Linked DNA regions of Macaca mulatta. The protein of the gene in region 2 purifies or fractionates together with the protein of the main gene of each other region. This does not show direct contact. Links are inferred from orthologs where the notes say so. Each region holds a gene or a part of one and is shown on either strand. Other genes may lie near its edges.

Region 1 (4,654 bases), on a different chromosome or scaffold from region 2:
CTCAGGAGGCTGAGGCACGAGAATCACTTGAACTTTGGAGGCAAAGGTCAGGAGCAAGCTGAGATCATGCCACTGCACTCCAACCTGCGTGACAAAGTGAGACCTTGTCTCAAAAACAACAGAACAAAACAAAAACCCCAAAAACTAGCTGGGTGTGGTGGCACATGCCTATGGTCCCAGCTACTTGGGGGGCTGTGGGAGGATTGCTTGAGCCCAGGAGGTCGAGGCTGCAGTGAGCTGTGATTATGCCACTGCACCCCAGCCTGGGTGACAACAACAAAAAACACCAAACACCTATTATTTCAATTACTATTTCTCCCCAGCATTCTGCAATACACAAATTTTGCAGCATAATTTACTGGTGTCAATTTCACAATCACACAAGTCCTCAGAAGTCAAAATGCAACACCTTGACCTCAGTCTGATTCATCAGATTTCCGTTTTGCTAAAAACCATACTCACCACTCGGATTCTGTGTCCAATGGCCTTAGCAGGAAGATTGCTTCGGAATTTGGCACGAACCATGCCACTGTTTCCATGGGCCCGAGTTACCTTTCCCCAGATGACTCTGGTTTTATTTGGTTTGCCGCCTGGAGTCACTGTGTTGCTGATTTTAAAAAGGGAAAGAAGAGGAATACAGGCCAATATAGTTGGATACAAATTCAAGGTGATCTCTAGACGAGTGGCTCAACCCTGGTTACCCACTTCATCACCTGAGAAACTTTAAATGCCTGGAACACCATTCATTCAACAGATACTTATCGAGTACCTACTGTATGCCAGGCCCTTCTGTAAAACACAGCAGCTATAAAATAAAAATCCCTTTCAAAACCGATAACCAAGTATAAGGAAATACATACGTCAGATAACAGAGGCAATACTGAAAAAACAGCAAAAGGACAGGTGTGACGATGTTTGTGTGTACAGAAAGGAGGAATTACCTGCCATTTTAAATAGCCAAGGAAGGTCTCACTGAGGTGACAATGGAACAAAGACTGGAAAGGAGGGGGAGAAGCGCCAGGAAGTGATCAGGGGATGACTAGCGCAGGCACTGGGGCCAAGCAAGGTGTGTTCTGACCGGAGGAAAGACTGAAGACACCAAGGGGTTAATCCCTGCTGAGATAAGAGAATTATGGAGCCCTTAATGACGGGCTTTTACTGAATGAGAGAAACCACTGAGTTCCAGCAATGTACAAAGGATGCGACTTTATATATTTTTCCTTTAAAGACCACAGGGTTGTCTTGTCACCCAGGCTGCAGTATAGTGGCCGAATCATAGCTCACTGCAGCCTCTACCTACTGGCATCAAGCAATCCTCCCACCTGGGCCTCTCAAATGCTGGGACTACAGGTGTGAGTCACTGAACCTGACTTAAAATTTATTCTTGGCTGTAGAAGAAAAGGTGGGGCAATGATTAAAACCCTTTCCCAGAGATTTTAATTGGCTTGGAGTGGGTGAAGAAAATAGGATTTGCTCTTGTTGTCCAGACTAAAGTGCAATGTCAGGATAGCTCACGCCTGTAATCCCAGCACTTTGGGAGGCTAAAGTGGCTGGATCACAAGGTCAGGAGTTCAAGAACAGTCTGGCCAAAATGGTGAAACCCTGTTTCTACTAAATATACAAAAATTAGCCGGGTGTGGTGGCAGGCGCCTGTAATCCCAGCTACTCGGGAGGCTGAGGCAGGAGAATCGCGTGAACCTGGGAGGTGGAGGTTGTGGTGAGCCGATAAGCTGATATCATGCTACTGCACCTGGGTGACACAGCGAGACTCCGTCTCAAAAAACAAAACAAACAAAAAAAACGTATTTTTAAGGCATTAACAAAATGCATTAAGCGCCAAGTGTTCTAAAAATCCTTAAGTTCTGGCAAAAGGAGCCGAGAAAAAAAATTAGAAGCCTTAAAAGGATCACAATATAAGGAATTAGCTCCTTTATTGTTTTCAAGTGCAAAAGGTACCTAAATCCAACACCACCCTCAGAAGTAACGTCCTTCTAAGACTCCTCATTAAGTTCCTTAATGACACAAAATAGAAGCCATAGCAATACCAATCCAGCCTGGCCAACATGGGGAAACCCATTCTCTAGTAAAAATACAAAAATTAGCTGGGCATGGTGGTGCACCCCTGTAAGCCCAGCTACCCAGGAGGCTGAGGCAGGAGAATCGCTTGAGCCAGGAGGCAGAGGATGCAGTGAGCTGGGATCGCGCCACTGAGCTCCAACCTGGGCAACAGAGCGAGACTCTTGTCACAAAAACAAAAAAAAAAACAATACCAAGTACTTCAGCCAAATATTTTATTATCTCAATAGGATAATGAGGCCAGGCACAGTGGCTCAAGCCTGTAATCTCAGCACTTTGGGAGACCGAGGTGGGTGATCACCTGAAGTCAGGAGTTTGAGACCAGCCTGGCCAACATGGCAATACACTGTCTCTAATAATAACACAAAAAGTAGCCGGGCGTGGTGGCGGGCGCCTGTAATCCCAGCTACTCGGGAGGCTGAGGCAGGAGAATCGCTTGAACCCGGGAGGCGGAAGTTTCGGTGAGGGAGACCAAGTCACTGCACTCCAGCCTGGGCAACAGAGCAAGACTCCGTTATATAAAAAAGAAAATGAGGCAGATCCCAAAATAAAAACCCAAAACCTACCAGTGTCATAAACTTACTTCTTTGCTTTGTATACATAAGCGCATCTCTTGCCCAAATAGAATTCTGTTTCATCTCGGGCATAAACACCTTCAATTTTAAGAAGAGCTGTGTGCTCCCTTTGGTTCCGGAGACCCCGCTTATAGCCGGCAAAAATGGCCTTGGACCACAGCCTAAGACACAAAAGATACACAACATGAAACATAAGCTTCAGAAAACCAATTTGACTTGTAATAACCCCCACCCAAAAGTTACTCAGAGCAAACATCTTAAGTTTTTTCTTGCTAATTTTAAGCTCGCATTTAAACATTCACGTCTAACACACACACACAAAGAGCAACCATATTTAAAACGCGTACCTTCCAGACATAGTTCCTTTTAGAAGTCCCGCTCCCAGCAGGCCTTAAAACAAACAAAAAGATTCAGTTTGAAACCAAGCCACGCAAGTTTCTCACCTCGTCCCCTCTCGTTTAAGCCCCGAAGGCAAATTCCTTTTGGATCGGAGTTTCTCGTAGGAGTAAGGGGACAATTATGCCAGAACATCATCCACATGAAACGCAGGCTCCGGCGAGACAATCAAACCTCAGAGAACAGCTGGTATCTAAGCAAACTTCAGAATGAAGACAAAACTAAGGGACAAGAGCCACAAAAATAACTCTCAGAAAAGCCTGAGAAAATGCATGCCATTGTCAGGAGGCAACACTCAGGAAAAGGAATGAAGACTTCATCAGAGACTCACACCTAAGACTTATGCATCGGCTGGGTCTCGGAGAAAAGCTGAGGGAAGAGACTGGTCAGACAAGCAAAGGGAGGTTTGGACTGGGAGGAAACGGAAAAACCCTGGCCGAAAGGAAGCACTGCCTCATGGACAACTGCAGACGAACAAAATCATCATTTCACTCCGCTCAGGCCCAGGAATTTAACTCGGATAACCCGGGCAGCCGTTCTCCGGGCGTCAGAGGACCAAGCACCATCGGCCCAACATCTGCTCCATCCTGCTCTCCCTCTTCTTGAAACCCATAGAAATCAATGGCTGGCGGAGACTCCGATACACACCGGCGACTCGCCGCGGTATAGGAACAAACCTGCTCCGGTTATTTGCCCCCAAATTTCAGCAGCAGGCGCTTCACTCACCTCCACAGGAGCCAAGATGGCGGGAAGAGAAAGACGAGGCCCCGCCGCGTGGCCTTGTGGGATTAAACATCTCTCGACCCCGCCCTCAATTTAGGCATCTTCTCCAAACGCCAGAAAAGCAATCCTCGGAAATCGCCTTCGCGCTGAAATAAGCCACATTCAAGAGCACTCTTACAATTATTTTCCTAAGTCCTTTCATCTTGGTAGGCTGCAAAATGTATTACTTGGGAACAGGGGAAGGCAAAATGGTAGCCAGCTAAATCCGCCAAAGCTGTGCGTTGCCATAGAAACAGCTTAGTTTACTTCCCGCGTCACCGGACGCTGTTGATGGAAAGGCGCACCGTGAGTGGAGGACGTTCCCACTGCCTGAAGAATGATTGTAAGATTGATTTGCCAACAGGCGGGTGCATATCCCTCGATCCACAAGCAATAGACAGAACGGAAATTCTAGGTTAGGATTCTGGGATCCTAACCTAGCATGAAAGAGAAAGGCCGGGAGCACGAAGGCAGCAGGACCTCTTCCTTCTCTTTTTTATTTTTCTATGCTTTTTTTCTGCCCTCTACTTATCTATCTCTTTCAAGAAACGAGACTGGACACGGTGGCTCACGCCTGTAAGCCCAGTTCTTTGGGAAACCGAGGCGGGAGGATCGCTTGAGGCTAGGAGTTCGAGACCAGCCTGGGCAATATAGTGAGACCACCTTCCCCCATCTCTACAAAAGAAAAAAAAAAAAAAGAATGAAATGACTTAAGTTCTTGCCTCCATTCTTCTTTTTGGATCCGAGGTATGAGAGGGACTGCCTGCAGGAGGCTTTATCGCCCTTTTAGGAGAACTCGTTTAGCTGCCCCGTGTCCGTGTCTAATAGGTCCTCCGTAGATACTT
Region 2 (4,639 bases):
ACCATACCGCAGCAGACAGCGTCAGGGTCAGATGGGATAGGCACCACCACAGCCCATGATGGAAGGTGGAGGAAGAAGTGCTCCCCCAGAGGCAACATGCATCAGGGCAAAGGGGTGGCACGCACAGAGTCCACATGTGCAGTGCCTGGCTGTGAGCAAGCTGTGTGGCTGAAGCAAAGCTGCTCTGAGAGGTTGGGACCCTGCTGTAGAGGGTCATTCAAGGCCAGGCTGAGAAACCAAGGATGGAATCTGCACCAGGGGAGGCCTGGCCAAGCTACCTGGCAGGAAAATGACCACGGAAAGGATCAAGCACCAGAAGACTCAGTTGGAACCCCATCGGTGGGGCCGACAGTGACAAGACGTGCACTGGGGCAGGAGCAGATGTGAGTGTGAGAAGCAAGAATCAGCAGGGCTGGGGAGCCACCCACCCACAAACTCACCAGTACTCTGTAATCAGGTTGTCACTTTTTCTTTTTTGTATTTTTTTTGGGGATGGAGTCTCTCCCTGTCGCCCAGGCTGGAGTACAGTGGCGCAGACTTGGCTCACTGCAACCTCTGCCTCCCAGGTTCGAGCAATTCTCCTGCCTCAGCCTCCCTAGTAGCTGGGACTACAGGTGCGCCCTACTGTGCCCGCCTAATTTTTTTTCTTTTCTTTTCTTTTCTTTTTTTGTATCTTTAGTTGAGACAGGGTTTCACTATGTCGGCCAGGCTGGTCTCGAACTCCTCCCAAAGTGCTGGGATTACAGGCGTGAGCCACCGCGCCCAGCCAGTTGTCACTTTTTCTTTCTTCTTTCTTTTGGCCAGTTGTCACTTTTTCTTTTTCTCTTTATTTTTTTTCTTCTTTCCTCTTTCTCGCTTTCCTTTTCTTCCTTCTTTCTCTTTTTTTTTCTTTCTTCCTCTCCTTCCTTTCTTCCTTCCTTCCTTCCTCTCTCTCTCTCTCTCTTTTTATGACACAGAATCTTGCTTTGTCACCCAGGCTGAAAAGTGCAGTGTCACAATCACAACTCACTGCAGTCTCAACCTCCTTGGCTCAGGTGATCCTCCTGCCTCAGCCTCCCAAGTAACTGAGACCACAGGTGCGTGCCACTATGTCCAGCTATTTAGTAGTAGTAGTCATAGTTGAGATGGGGTCTCTCTGTATGTTGCCCGGCGTGGTCTTGAACTCCTAGGCTCAAGTGATCCTCCCACCTCAGTCTCCCAAACTGCTGGGACTACTACATGCTTGGGCCATCACACCCAGTATTTTTTTTTTTTTTTTTTAATAGAGATGGAATCTCTCTATGTTGCCCAGGCTTGTTTTAAACTCCTGAGCTCAAGCGATCCTCCCATCTCGGCCTCCCAAAGTGCTGGGATCACAGGCATGCACCACCTCATCTGGCCAGGTTTTCACTTTCAACATCCCAGATCCAACAAGGTCTAACCTGCCGTGGCCCTGCCTCTGCTCCACGAGGGCCCTCTGCCACGGACACACGGTCCTTTTTTTGTTTGTTCCCACATTAGGGCTTTGTGCTCACCATCTCCTCTGCCCAGGGAAGCTCCTCTGCCCAGGCCTTGATCACCACATCACATGGCTGGCTCCTCTTCCTCCTCAAGCAGGTCTCAGCTCAAATGTCACCTCCTCGGGAAGGCCTCCCCGATCCCTCCAGCTAGTAATGTCACCTGCACACCCAGTCACTTGCTAGCACATGAAGCTGGTTCATTTTCTTTTTTTTTCTTTGAGACAAGGTCTCGCTCTGTCGCCCAGGCTGGTGTGCAGTGGTGCAATCACTACTCACTGCAGCCTTGACCTCCCAGGCTCATAGCTGGAACCACAGACGCATTCCACTATACCCAGCTAATTTCTTATTTTTTGTAGAGACAGGGTCTCACTATATGGCCAGGCTGGTCTCAAACTCCTGGGCTCAAGCAATCGTCTCGCCTCAGCCTCCCAATGTGCTGGGATCACAGGCGTGAACCACTACACCCAGCCGAGGCTGTTTCATTTACTGCATAACACTTCTGAGAATCTGCAATGATCCAATTTATTGGGTTTTTTGTTCAGTCTGTAACCTCCCACTGGAATGTAAGCTCCGTGAGAGCAGGGACCATGTCTGTCTTGTTCACTCCAGTATTACCAGCATCTTAAACAACACCTGGTGTGTAACAGACGCTCAACACGTACCTGTTGAATGAATGATGCAGGGGAACGGGAAGTGAAAGGAAACGGAAGGAAGATGGGACCAAAGTCAGATGTTGGGAAGAGCGGGGAAGTTGGCTGGGCATGGGAGGGCCTTCGCGGGTGGCCTCTGATTGCTGTTTCAGGTGTTGTGAGCTACCCACGGGGGACAGGTCCTAAGCAGGAGACAGAAGCAGGAGCCCAGAGGCTGGAAGTAGAAATGCAATGGAGAGAACAGATACACACTTGTCAGGCGGAAAATGTTAAAGATGGGGCAGAGGGGCATGAGTGAGCCTGGGGGTCCTCACACTTTGCGGGAAGGGGAAGGTTTATAGGGATCGGAAGCAGGCGCATGGCAGGGCAGCGGCAGATCGCACTCACGCTCACATACATGATGGAGTGAGCATCAACAAGGCCCTCCCTCCCTCCAAAACTAACAGGAGACTAGGACCCAGGTGGTGCCTGGGACTTACCCACAGGACAGCATCTCTCTGTAGGGATGGGGAAGTCACAGCGGAGGGCCACAGGGGGCGGGGCTGAGCCAGGGGCACAGCTGTGCACAGCGGCCCAAGCCAGGAGAGGAAGAACCACTCAGAAATCAGCCACTTCCTCCTCGATCCAGCCTGCCAGGCCAATGGCACCGCAGGGACAAACCCTGGACTAATAGTCTCCGGGAAAAGGACAGGTGGGGCGGGGCTGGCCTGAGACCGCCCACAGTGGCCAGCTTCCCTGCAGCCCCAGTGCGGGAGTACAGCAGGCCTGCCCGCTGGGCCAGGGCCCCCTTCCCTCGGGAGAGGAGGAGCCACCTGGAGCTCCACCTGGAGCTCAAGCTGACAGAGCAGCGGGACGCTGGGTAGGAGCAAAGACCAGGAAGTAACCCTGGCTGAGGGAAGAGCAACCAATGGGGGAAAGCTCTCAGTAGGTGGAAACCAAAGGGCCTAAGGGAAAGTCCTAACAGCCCAATTCCTCAGAGAAGGAGGTGTCCCCAGTGCAGGCCCGCCCACCCACCCAGAGCGTCGAGGGGCCCAGTCCAGCCTCTCACCCTGCCCTGGGGGAAGGGGAGGAGCCTCAGGCCCTCACTGGAGCAGGGTTAGGCCCAGCCAGGAGTATAGGAAGGAGCTGTACATGGGGATGGGGCCTGGAAAGGCAGAGGGAATCTGGGAAGGTGAGATGGGGGTTGTCAAGTCTGCAAAAGACTGACACCAAGGCTAAGTCACAGGCACGTTTATTATCGTCTGGAACATCAAGGCCTTTTCTTCCCTGGCAGGGGCACAGGGAGGGCCAACTCTCAGGAGGCAGCCACGCTGCCACCAGCAGCAGGCCCGTGGGGTGGCAGGGTCATGGGCGGCAGGAACAGCGCCTTCAGCTTGCCTGACAGGCTGGCGATCTCAGGATCCTGGGCTTCATAGGACTTGACCAAGCGAGCAAATTTAAGGACACCTGCAAGAGGGAGTGGAGGGTCAACGCTTCTTCCAAGGACCAGCTGCGTAAGACAGCTGGAGGGGGTGGTAGTTTAAGCATGAACTGCTTCCCCACTGGCTGGGCAGCTGTTTGCAAAACAGGACGCATGCAGGCCTCTGTCCTATGTGGTTTGGATCAACTTCTTGGTCTACACTGGGCACAACTAGATGGGATGCAGTGAATGAAAATATCCCAAGGCAGTGTGCTTCTTGCTCTCAGGTGAACCCTTTTAGCAGTTTAGTCACTGGAACCCCATGAATGAACACGAGACCCCGGGTCTGTAGCTGGAACGCAGGAAGGCTACGGGGCAGCAGAGCTGAATCAGTCAGCACCTTTGGGGAACACCAGGATCTCACCAAAAATTTAACCACCAACCCCCAAACAGAAATTAGCTGAAACACCCTGGAGAGACTGCAGCCACTGCTGTAATGCAGACCTCTCACTAAAAGATGGCACAACAGCGTTGACGTCCAGCTCTGCTACTACTAAAAGTCTGCACCATTAGCGTTTGCTCCCTCATCACAAAATGTAATAATAATGTGATTCACAGTACAGGTTGACCATCCTTAATTAGAAAACCCAAAATCTGAAATTATTTGAGTGCCAGTGTGAAGCCAAAAATGGAAAATTCCACACCTGACTTCATGGTGGGGGGTGGGGGTGGGGGGACTGTAGTCAAAACGCAGTCAAAACTTTGTCTTATGCACAAGATTATTCAGACTATTATATAAAATTACCTTCAGGCTATGTGCTTAAGCTGTATGTATACGAAACAAAACAATTTCGTGTTCAGATTTGAGTCCCATCCCCCAAGATATCCATGTATACGTAAATATTCCGAAATCTGAAAAAATCCAAAACACTTCTGGTCCCAAGTATTTCGGATAAGGGATACGGAACCTCTCCTGTACAAAATGCAACTCGGAGGCACAAGCTCAGGGTAGACCCTGAGCTCTGAGTGCCAACACTGTCGCCGTGTGGCGAGAAAGGGGACAACCACTCAGGGCCCCACAGATCCGGCGC
Region 3 (4,871 bases), on a different chromosome or scaffold from region 2:
TTCAGGTGGGCCTGTGCCTTTTTCAGCGGGCTCCAGTTCTCCTGCTTGACTTGAGTCATTCGCATTTCCTGAGAGCTGGGTAGAGGGGGAGTTGTGAAGGAGCCCATTCTGAAACTGATCTGATATTGCAAACCCACACACTGAAAGGAAGAACTGCCCATACATACTCGAGTCTTCCGATCTGACTCCGAGCCCGCATCCCCCTCATTCGTCTCTTTTCCCCACTCCCCAGATCATGATGCTACTTGGTCCCCCTCAGAGCCATAGAGAAGCAGGGGGTGTGGCCATGGAGGGGAAACCTCTGTCACCAGAGACTTTACTGTACTTCTCCTTTTGCTCTCAGATGCTGCCAGGGTCCCTGAAGAGGGAAGACACGCGGAAAGAGGTAAAAACCATTTTGCTTTTATTTTGCATTCAACAAGCAAATTATTATGGAACAGCAGTTATAGGCCAGGCATACCTCCCAGAGCTGGGAATACAGTGGGGACCTCCCTGGCTCTCTCTTACCTGTGTTACAACAGGTTGTAGACAGACCCCTGTCTTGAGCATCCTCCTTGTCAGGCCTGTTGAGTCTTCTGAGAGTAGGGTAGGTTACTGGATGCCTAGGAGGGAAGAAGGAGCCAGGGAGGCCGGCCCCAAGGTTCTGCAAGGCCCTCAACAGGCCTGGACTGAGGAGGTCTGGACAGCATGGCCCTGTCCTGAGCCTCTGTGCATAATAACTGCTGTCCCTAACCTCCACCCCACCCTCAGCCTTCCAATTCCCGGGCCTGGGGCCCTACTCCTGTGCTCCAGAGACTCCTGGAGCTCCTTGAGGCAGCACACAGCCCTGCTCTGGAGACACTCATATCCCACTCATGCTGGGATGCTCCAGCCCGGCCCAGAGCAGGCTGTGGCTGGAGGGTGCCGGCAGAGGAGGGACGATGGCCCGGCTCCTGGAGGCAAGTGTTGGCTGCAGGAAAAGAGTCTATTCCGTCCCACAGCCCTTGTTACCCCTTAGGTAACCTTAAGGGGATTTCAGAGAACACTGGTCCTGCAACCCTGCAAAGTTTTTTATGGAACATGTAAAATAGATCCCATGGTCAAAGAAGTATGGACAATGTATTATACTATACTCTAATCTCCATATCTAGAGATTAATGGTGTAGATAGAGTTTCCTAAAACGTTTTTAAAGCCCTGCAGTAAAGAATCTTACTTAAGCCAGGTGCGGTGGCTCACACCTGTAATCTCAGCACTTTGGGAGGTCAAGTTGGGGGGATCACCTGAGGTCAGGAGCTTGAAACCAGCCTGGCCAACATGGTGAAACCCCATCTCTACTAAAACAAACAGACAAACAAACAAATACATCAGACAGGTGTGGTGGCGCACGCCTGTAGTCCCAGCTACTCAGGAGGCTGAGGCAGGAGAATCACTTGAACCCTAGAGGCAGAGGATGCAGTGAACTGAGATCACACCACTGCACTCCAGCCTGGGTGACAGAAGAATGAGACTCTGTCTCAAAAAATAATAATAATAATAATAATTTTACTTAACTCTTTAACCCTGCCTTTCTCAAGTGTACGTGACCTTGAAGACGTTTTTTGCATGTGACATTATGAGCACTTGCAGGGCTCATGTCAACTCTGCCTGGGGAATCTGCCTCAGCTTCAGACCCTGCACCCCAAATTCATGCTCAGGTCAAGCGAGACCCCCTTCCTGCTGTCCACAAGCAGCTTAGCTTTCCCCACACCCATGAACTGACACCTGGCAGCCCTCGGCATGAGCCGTGTGGCCCGAGGAGATAAACACAGAGAGAGAGAGGAACACTGATGCGTGGGAAATGTTGGCAGGTGAGTGGGAGGGACTTGGGTTGGTGCTGAGACCGGAGACACACTCTGCTGTCACATCCTTCGGGGTCCCCGGGGGCCAGCACGGAGGGCCACGATCATGTAAATTGGGACTTAAATTTAACTCTATGTAAATATAACTCTATGCAGAGGTCAGGGATGGTGGAGGATAAGCTCATTGCAGAGAAAGAGAGAAAGACGGGCAGCAATTACAGAACCTAACCCACAGATAGGTTTTGTTTGACCAGCTCTGCATATTTTTAGTTTGTGTATTTTTTCTTTTTTCTTTTCTTTTTTTTTTTTTGTTTTTTGAGACGGAGTCTCGCTCTGTCGCCCAGGCTGGAGTGCAGTGGCGCGATCTCCACTCACTGAAAGCTCCACCTCCCAGGTTTACGCCATTCTCCTGGCTCAGCCTCCCATGTAGCTGGGACTACAGGCGCCCGCCACCTCGCCCGGCTAATTTTTGTATTTTTAGTAGAGACGGGGTTTCACCGTGTTAGTCAGGATGGTCAGGATCACCTGACCTCGTGATCTGCCTGTCTCGGCCTCCCAAAGTGCTGGGATTACAGGCGTGAGCCACCGCACCCAGCCTATTTTTTATTTTTTCAAGACAGGGTCTCGCCCTATTGCCCAGGCTGGAGTGCAGTGGGGAGATCACCATTCACTGCAGGCTTGACCTCCTGGGCTCAACTGATCCTCCCACCTCAGCCTCCTAATTAACTGAGACCACAGGTGTGCGCCACCATGCCTGGCTAATTTTTAAACTTTTTTTGTAGAGACGTGGTCTTGTTATGTTGGCCAGGCTGGTCTCAAACTCCTGACCTCAAGTAATCCTCCCACATTGGCCACTTCTCCTTGGTCTATTTTTCTTTTTAAGTAGGTCACTCCACTTAGAAGTTTAGCTTCTTACTTCTCTTACAGTGGAAGATCAGACAGTGCTGAGCTCAGGTTCTGTCTGGCAATAACTGACTAGAACTGAGGCAGCTACCACCTTTAGAGGAGGTACAACCTTTGTCCCCACTTGGTTGATTTACGTTTCCTACCTGGCCTGTGGGGCATTCTCCAGAGACCTTCCAGACCCCTCAAAATGCTCTCCTGGTGTCACACTTTATTTTTTGTTTTGTTTTTGTTCTGAGACAGGATCTGGGTCTGTCACCCAGGCTGGAGTGCAGTAGCACGATCTTGGCTCACTGCAACCTCCACTTCCCGGGTTCAAACAACTATCCTGCCTCAGCCTCCCGAGTAGCTGGGATTACAGGTGTGCGCCACCACGCCCAGCTAATTTTTTGCATTTTTAGTAAGATGGGGTTTTGCCATGTTGGCCAGGCTGGTCTTGAACTCCTGACCTCAAGTGATCTGCCTGCCTTGGCATCCCAAAGTATTGGGATTACAGGTGTTAGCCACTGCACCTGGCTCACCCATACTTTGTTACTGGTTTTAAAATTCCTTTTTGCCTGGTCTTTCAAACCAAGTTTTGACCATGTCTGTCCCTGAGTATAATCCGTGATGAGTAGCACCAGAGAGAGCTCCATGTTATCCGGGGCCTGGCATTCAAGGCACTCAGTGGTCTGGTGCCACTCAAAGTCTGCAAGCCAGGCAGGAAGTTTGTAAAATTAGAGATGGATGAATGGATGGATGGAAAAAAGGAAGCAAGGGAGGAAGGAAGGAAGAAAGGAAGGAGTTCTGGGAAGAGAGAGAAGCTGCCCTCACAGGGCTCTCAGTTTGAAGGAGAGGCACAGCATACCTAGAAAAAACTCCCGGCCAGGAGTGGTGGCTCACCCCTGTAGTCCCAGCACTTTGGGAGGCCGAGGCTGGCAGATCACCTGAGGTCAGGAGTTCAAGATCAGCCTGGCCAACATCGTGAAGCCCCATCTCTACTGAAAATACAAAAATCAGCCAGGCGTGGTGACACCTGCCTTTACCCAGCTACTTGGGGGGCTGAGGCCAGAGAAGTGCTTGAGCCTGGGAAGCAGAGGTTGCAGTGAGCGGAGATTGCACCACTGCACTCTAGCCTGGGAGACAGAGCAAGACTCTGTCTCAAAAAAAAAGAAAGAACTCTGTGAGCATCTCAAATGCCACATCCCCATAATGCAACCAGACCCAGTCCTCCTAGATCTAGGGGAAGGGTTGGAGCTCAGTGGGTGAGCAAGAAAAGCCATGTGGAAGAAGTCAGTGGCCAGATGGCTCAAAGACAAACTCTCCCCTGCTCAGGCTTCCACCCAGACACGACACCATGCATCTCCTCGGCCCCTGGCTCCTGCTCCTGGGTAAGGACTGTGGCCTGGGCCAGTACTGGGGTTCTGGGATGTCAGTGGGCACTGGAGGAGGAGAAAAGACCCGGGCAGAGAGGCGTCAACATAGGGTAGGGTGGGGGTGGCAGTGTGTATAGATAGATGTACATACAAATATATATGTTTCCCATATATACATACGCTTCTCTCATTGCATCCTGCTGTCTTTGTGTATCTCTGTATTTCTCCCACTATCTTCAGAGAGAATTCTTTAGTTTTTGGAAAGCTCTCAGCTGGGTGCAATGGCTCATGCCTGAAATGTCAGCACTTTGTGAGGCTGAGGTGGGAGGATCACTTGAGGTCAAGAGTTTGAAGCCAGCTTGGGCAACTTAGCAAGACCCCTATCTCTAAAAAGAATTAAAAATTAAACAAATTTTAAAATAAAGAATAATTTGTAAAAGAAGGCTCTCGTGCCCCCTCAGTAATGCTTTCTGATCACTGTGGTGAGTTCTAGAATACTTGGCTTTCTCTGACTCAAGTAAATGGAATATTGAGCACCCTGGAACCATCTACGCCTGGGAGGGGGCCTGCGTCTGGGTCCCCTGCACCTACAGAGTCCTAGATGGTGCCCTGGAAACCTTCATCCTGTTCCACAATCCTGAGTATAACCAGAACATGTCGAAGTTCGAAGGGACCAGACTCTATGAAAGCACAAAGGATGGGAAGGTTCCTTCAGGTCAGAAAAGGGTGCAATTCCTGGGGAACAAGATTAACAACAACTGCACACTGAGTATCCACCCAGTGCACGTCAATGAC
Region 4 (3,619 bases), on a different chromosome or scaffold from region 2:
CACCCAGCAAGCCAGTCCTGCCTCTTGTGCCACCATCGCCATTCCCCTCCACTCAGCTGCCCTTGGTGACCACCCCAGAGACGCTGGTCCAGCCTGGAACACCTGCCCGCCGCTGCCGCTCACTACCTTCATCCCCTGAGCTCCCCCGCCGTATGGAGACAGCACTTCCAGGTCCTGGCCCTCCCCCCGTGGGCCCCTCGGCTGAAGAGAAGATGGAGTGTGAGGGCAGCAGCCCTGAGCCGGAACCTCCAGGACCAGCGCCCCAGCTGCCTCTGGCTGTGGCCACAGACAACTTCATCAGCACCTGTTCCTCGGCCACCCAACCCTGGTCCCCTAGATCAGGACCTGTCCTCAATAACAATCCCCCAGCTGTGGTGGTGAACTCCCCACAAGGCTGGGCTGGGGAGCCCTGGAACCGGGCCCAGCATAGCCTGCCCCGGGCGGCAGCCCTGGAGCGGACAGAACCCTCGCCACCCCCTTCAGCTCCCCGGGAGCCTGATGAGGGGCTGCCCTGTCCTGGCTGCTGCCTCGGCCCCTTCAGCTTTGGCTTCCTGTCCATGTGCCCCCGCCCCACACCAGCTGTTGCCCGCTACCGCAACCTGAACTGTGAGGCGGGCAGTCTCCTCTGCCACCGAGGGCACCATGCCAAGCCACCCACACCCAGCCTGCAACTGCCCGGGGCACGCTCTTAGCATTGGAGCCTGTGGTCTCAGGCCTCCAACTTTGGCCTTCAGGACACCCTGTAAGAACAGAGCACACTTGCTGGACAGTGCCAGTTCCAGATGGGCTGACCGGCTCTTCTCCCTGTGTAGGGGAGCCCCAGCATGGACTCGAGGGACAGAGCACTTCCAGTTCAATCCCCGGCTCGTGTTCCCATGGGGATCACTGAACCAGACACAGCATTGCTGACACATGAGACTAACACGTGCAATTATTTAAAAAGATTTCAATAAAACTGCCTGGCTGGCTCCGGGCCGCCCCTATCCACTCAACCCATGCGCCCTCCTCCCCCGCCCCATTCTACCATGGGAAGTTCTTGCAGGGAGGCCAAAGTCCCTTCTAGAGGTGGCTTCACCCTTTTCCCAAGAACAGTCCAGTTTCAGGAAGAGGGAGCAGGCAGCAGGCTGGCTGGAAGTGTCAGGTGTGGATCAGCTGGTGGCTGGACACTGCCCAGAATGAGGGAACACAGGGAGGACATGGTCTGAGGACCCGCAGGCCTCAGGTTAGGAAGGAGGGGCACAGTTTCTTGTTGGCATGAGTGTCTGGAAGAGTAAAGTATCGGTGAGCTCCATGGTTGACTTAACTGAACCCTCATCCCGCTCACCCCGTCACCCCGACAGCCACATCACCAGCCTCCCATAAGTTCTAGGCCTTTCCTGTCCCTCTCCCTGCCCACCCCATCCTAACATAAGCAGACCAAGCAACTGGAGGCTGTGGAGGAACTTTCATCCCAGGTACAAGTTTTCCCTCGGGCCCCTGGGTCCCTGCTCTGAGTCCCTCTGCCCCTGGACTCCCCATGCCTTGGCCCCATCCCTCACTCTTACCAGTTCAGTGTAAAGGGTTGTCCTAATCTGGAAATCTGAAAGCTGTCATCTCACAGATGAAGGGAAGAGGACTTCCACATGCCTCTTTCTCCATTGTCCAATACCGTGACCAACCTTTTTGTACCTTGGTACATTTTGAACTTTGAACATAAACCCTAAAAAGTAATAAGGTAGAGCTGGGATAAGCTCTGGACCCCTCCTATCCTACCCTCCCTTCTCTCCCCTTTCCCTGCATAAAACCTAAGTCCTAAGTCGCTTTGCCTGCCTAAGGCCACATCTGGGCATGGTTCAGGACAGATGTCTGGAGTTCAACTAAAACAGGCTTTAGAACCAGCAGAGGGAAAAATCACTCCAGGTCATAAAGATGCAGGCCAGGCGCGGTGGCTCATGCCTGTAATCCCAGCACTTGTGGGAGGCTGAGGCGGGCGGGTCACGAGGTCAGGAGATCGAGACCATCCTGGCTAACACGGTGAAACCCCATCTCTACTAAAAATACAAAAAATTAGCCAGGCATGGGGAGGCTGAGGCAGGGGAATGGTGTGAACCCAGGAGGCGGAGCTTGCAGTGAGCCAAGATTGCACAACTGTACTCCGGCCTAGGCAACAGAGCGAGACTCTGTCTCAAAAAAAAGATGGGAAGGCCAATTAGGGAACATAAGGAGGCTGCCACCCTGTTTCAGGGTCCCTAGGGTTGATCCTCAATGGTACCCCACTGCTCCCTTGATCACAGTGAAGTGGAGCTTTGATGGTACCCCCACTGCTCCCTTGCTTACTTCACTGAGGTAGCTCTAGTGCCCCGAGTGGCTGCTACTGAGAAAGTACAACCTCAGTTTGGGTGGCCTTGTCAAAGGATGGAGAAATGCTGCTGTCATCAGCTGTGGAGCCTTAACTAAATCCTTAATGTCTCCCCCTAAAAGCTAGCATAGGTCCCAACCTAGTAGTTACTGAAACAAAAAAGCATGTGCCAGGGACTTCTAGGTGGAAATATAATGGAGAATAAGATTGCCTTAAGAAGTTATTAATCAAATAGAGGAAACAGACAAATAGGCAATTACAGTGTTGATTTATGGGAGAGTTCTGAGGGAAGCAGGTGGAGAGGAAATCTGATTACCATGTCTTTATGGAGGGGATTATGGAGTTGAAAATACCCAGAGTCCTAACAAACTTACCTAATGTATTGTGTATCATCAGTAAACTTCTCATCCTTGTTAGAGCTGAGGCCAGTCCAGTATGAATTCCCTGAACCACCATTTGGCAACAGCGAATTTAAGATGAAGTAATACTAAGGAGAGATTCAGAGAGACCAGAGATATGTGGAGAGTGATGAGAAATACGGAAGAAAATGCATGCCCTAGGGAGGCCTCAGCTTCGGCAAGGGGGCTGTATATATGACAGCTCTTTGGTAACTGGTCCCTGAATCCACCAAGTGCCACCCTGCAGATGCAGGCTCAGTGCTCAATTTGCTTTCCAGCTGAGTAAGAATCTCTGCCAGCCTTTGGAGGGGAGTCATTGTGTGTGCTGTTCTGGCCCCAAGGAACTAATCCCTACAATCCAGCCCACCAGGTGTGGAACCTCTCTGCCTGAGAGGCCACAAGAGTCAAGGAACCTGTCAAGCAGCCCAGGGAGCTGACTAGCAAGCTGAGATGAGATACAGATTAAAGTAGAGGCCAGGTGCGGTGGCTCACACCTGTAATCCCGCACTTTGGGAGGCTGAGGCAGGTGAATCACCTGAGGTCAGGAATTAGAGACCAGCCTGACCAATATGGTGAAACCCCGTCTCTATTAAAAATACAAAAATTAGCTGGGCGTGGTGGTGTGTGACTGTAGTCCCAGCTACTCGGGAAACTGAGACAGGAGAATTGCTTGAACCCAGGAGGCAGAGGTTGCAGTGAGCTGAGATTATGGAATTGCACTCCAGCCTGGGTGACAGAGTGAGACTCTGCCTCAAAAAAAAAAAAAAAAAAAAAATGTAGATATGGTTCCTAAGTTTCTACTCTCATGCCAACTCTAATCAGTTAGTAGGGGCTGCCTGGACCACTGTGCTGAGAAGATGCAGAGGTTGTTTCCAAGCTCAGA

The links.
Region 1: the proteins of PTPN6 (region 2) and RPL35A purify together in Homo sapiens (affinity purification with mass spectrometry; 3 studies listed by BioGRID and IntAct, with this or other methods). This does not show direct contact. The link is inferred for Macaca mulatta from reciprocal best matches to the Homo sapiens genes PTPN6 and RPL35A.
Region 3: the proteins of PTPN6 (region 2) and CD22 purify together in Homo sapiens (affinity purification with western blotting; 5 studies listed by BioGRID and IntAct, with this or other methods). This does not show direct contact. The link is inferred for Macaca mulatta from reciprocal best matches to the Homo sapiens genes PTPN6 and CD22.
Region 4: the proteins of PTPN6 (region 2) and CD72 purify together in Homo sapiens (affinity purification with western blotting; 3 studies listed by BioGRID). This does not show direct contact. The link is inferred for Macaca mulatta from reciprocal best matches to the Homo sapiens genes PTPN6 and CD72.

The regions. Positions count from the first base shown.
Region 1 is NC_133407.1:982,155-986,808, forward strand, and holds the start of RPL35A (60S ribosomal protein L35a), read right to left. Parts: upstream 3,030-4,654; 5' UTR 3,010-3,029; coding exon 2,999-3,009; intron 2,813-2,998; coding exon 2,660-2,812; intron 608-2,659; coding exon 463-607; intron 1-462.
Region 2 is NC_133416.1:7,915,635-7,920,273, reverse strand, and holds the start of PTPN6 (tyrosine-protein phosphatase non-receptor type 6), read right to left. Parts: upstream 3,024-4,639; 5' UTR 2,643-3,023; coding exon of another isoform or gene 2,629-2,642; intron 2,364-2,628; 5' UTR 2,263-2,363; coding exon 2,162-2,262; intron 1-2,161. Other genes in the region: C11H12orf57 (protein C10), read right to left, coding at 3,444-3,595. UniProt on the Homo sapiens protein: Tyrosine phosphatase enzyme that plays important roles in controlling immune signaling pathways and fundamental physiological processes such as hematopoiesis.
Region 3 is NC_133424.1:46,607,433-46,612,303, forward strand, and holds the start of CD22 (B-cell receptor CD22), read left to right. Parts: upstream 1-1,552; 5' UTR 1,553-1,817; coding exon 1,818-1,827; intron 1,828-4,004; coding exon 4,005-4,091; intron 4,092-4,537; exon of another isoform or gene 4,538-4,563; coding exon 4,564-4,871. UniProt on the Homo sapiens protein: Most highly expressed siglec (sialic acid-binding immunoglobulin-like lectin) on B-cells that plays a role in various aspects of B-cell biology including differentiation, antigen presentation, and trafficking to bone marrow.
Region 4 is NC_133420.1:64,085,489-64,089,107, reverse strand, and holds the end of CD72 (B-cell differentiation antigen CD72), read right to left. Parts: intron 2,826-3,619; coding exon 2,713-2,825; intron 1,700-2,712; coding exon 1,567-1,699; 3' UTR 1,545-1,566; intron 1,263-1,544; exon of another isoform or gene 1,167-1,262; 3' UTR 935-1,166; downstream 1-934. Other genes in the region: TESK1 (dual specificity testis-specific protein kinase 1), read left to right, coding at 1-692. UniProt on the Homo sapiens protein: Co-receptor of B cell receptor (BCR) that plays both positive and negative roles on B-cell functions. Recognizes the Sm/ribonucleoprotein (RNP) self-antigen ligand, and coligation of CD72 and BCR inhibits BCR signaling.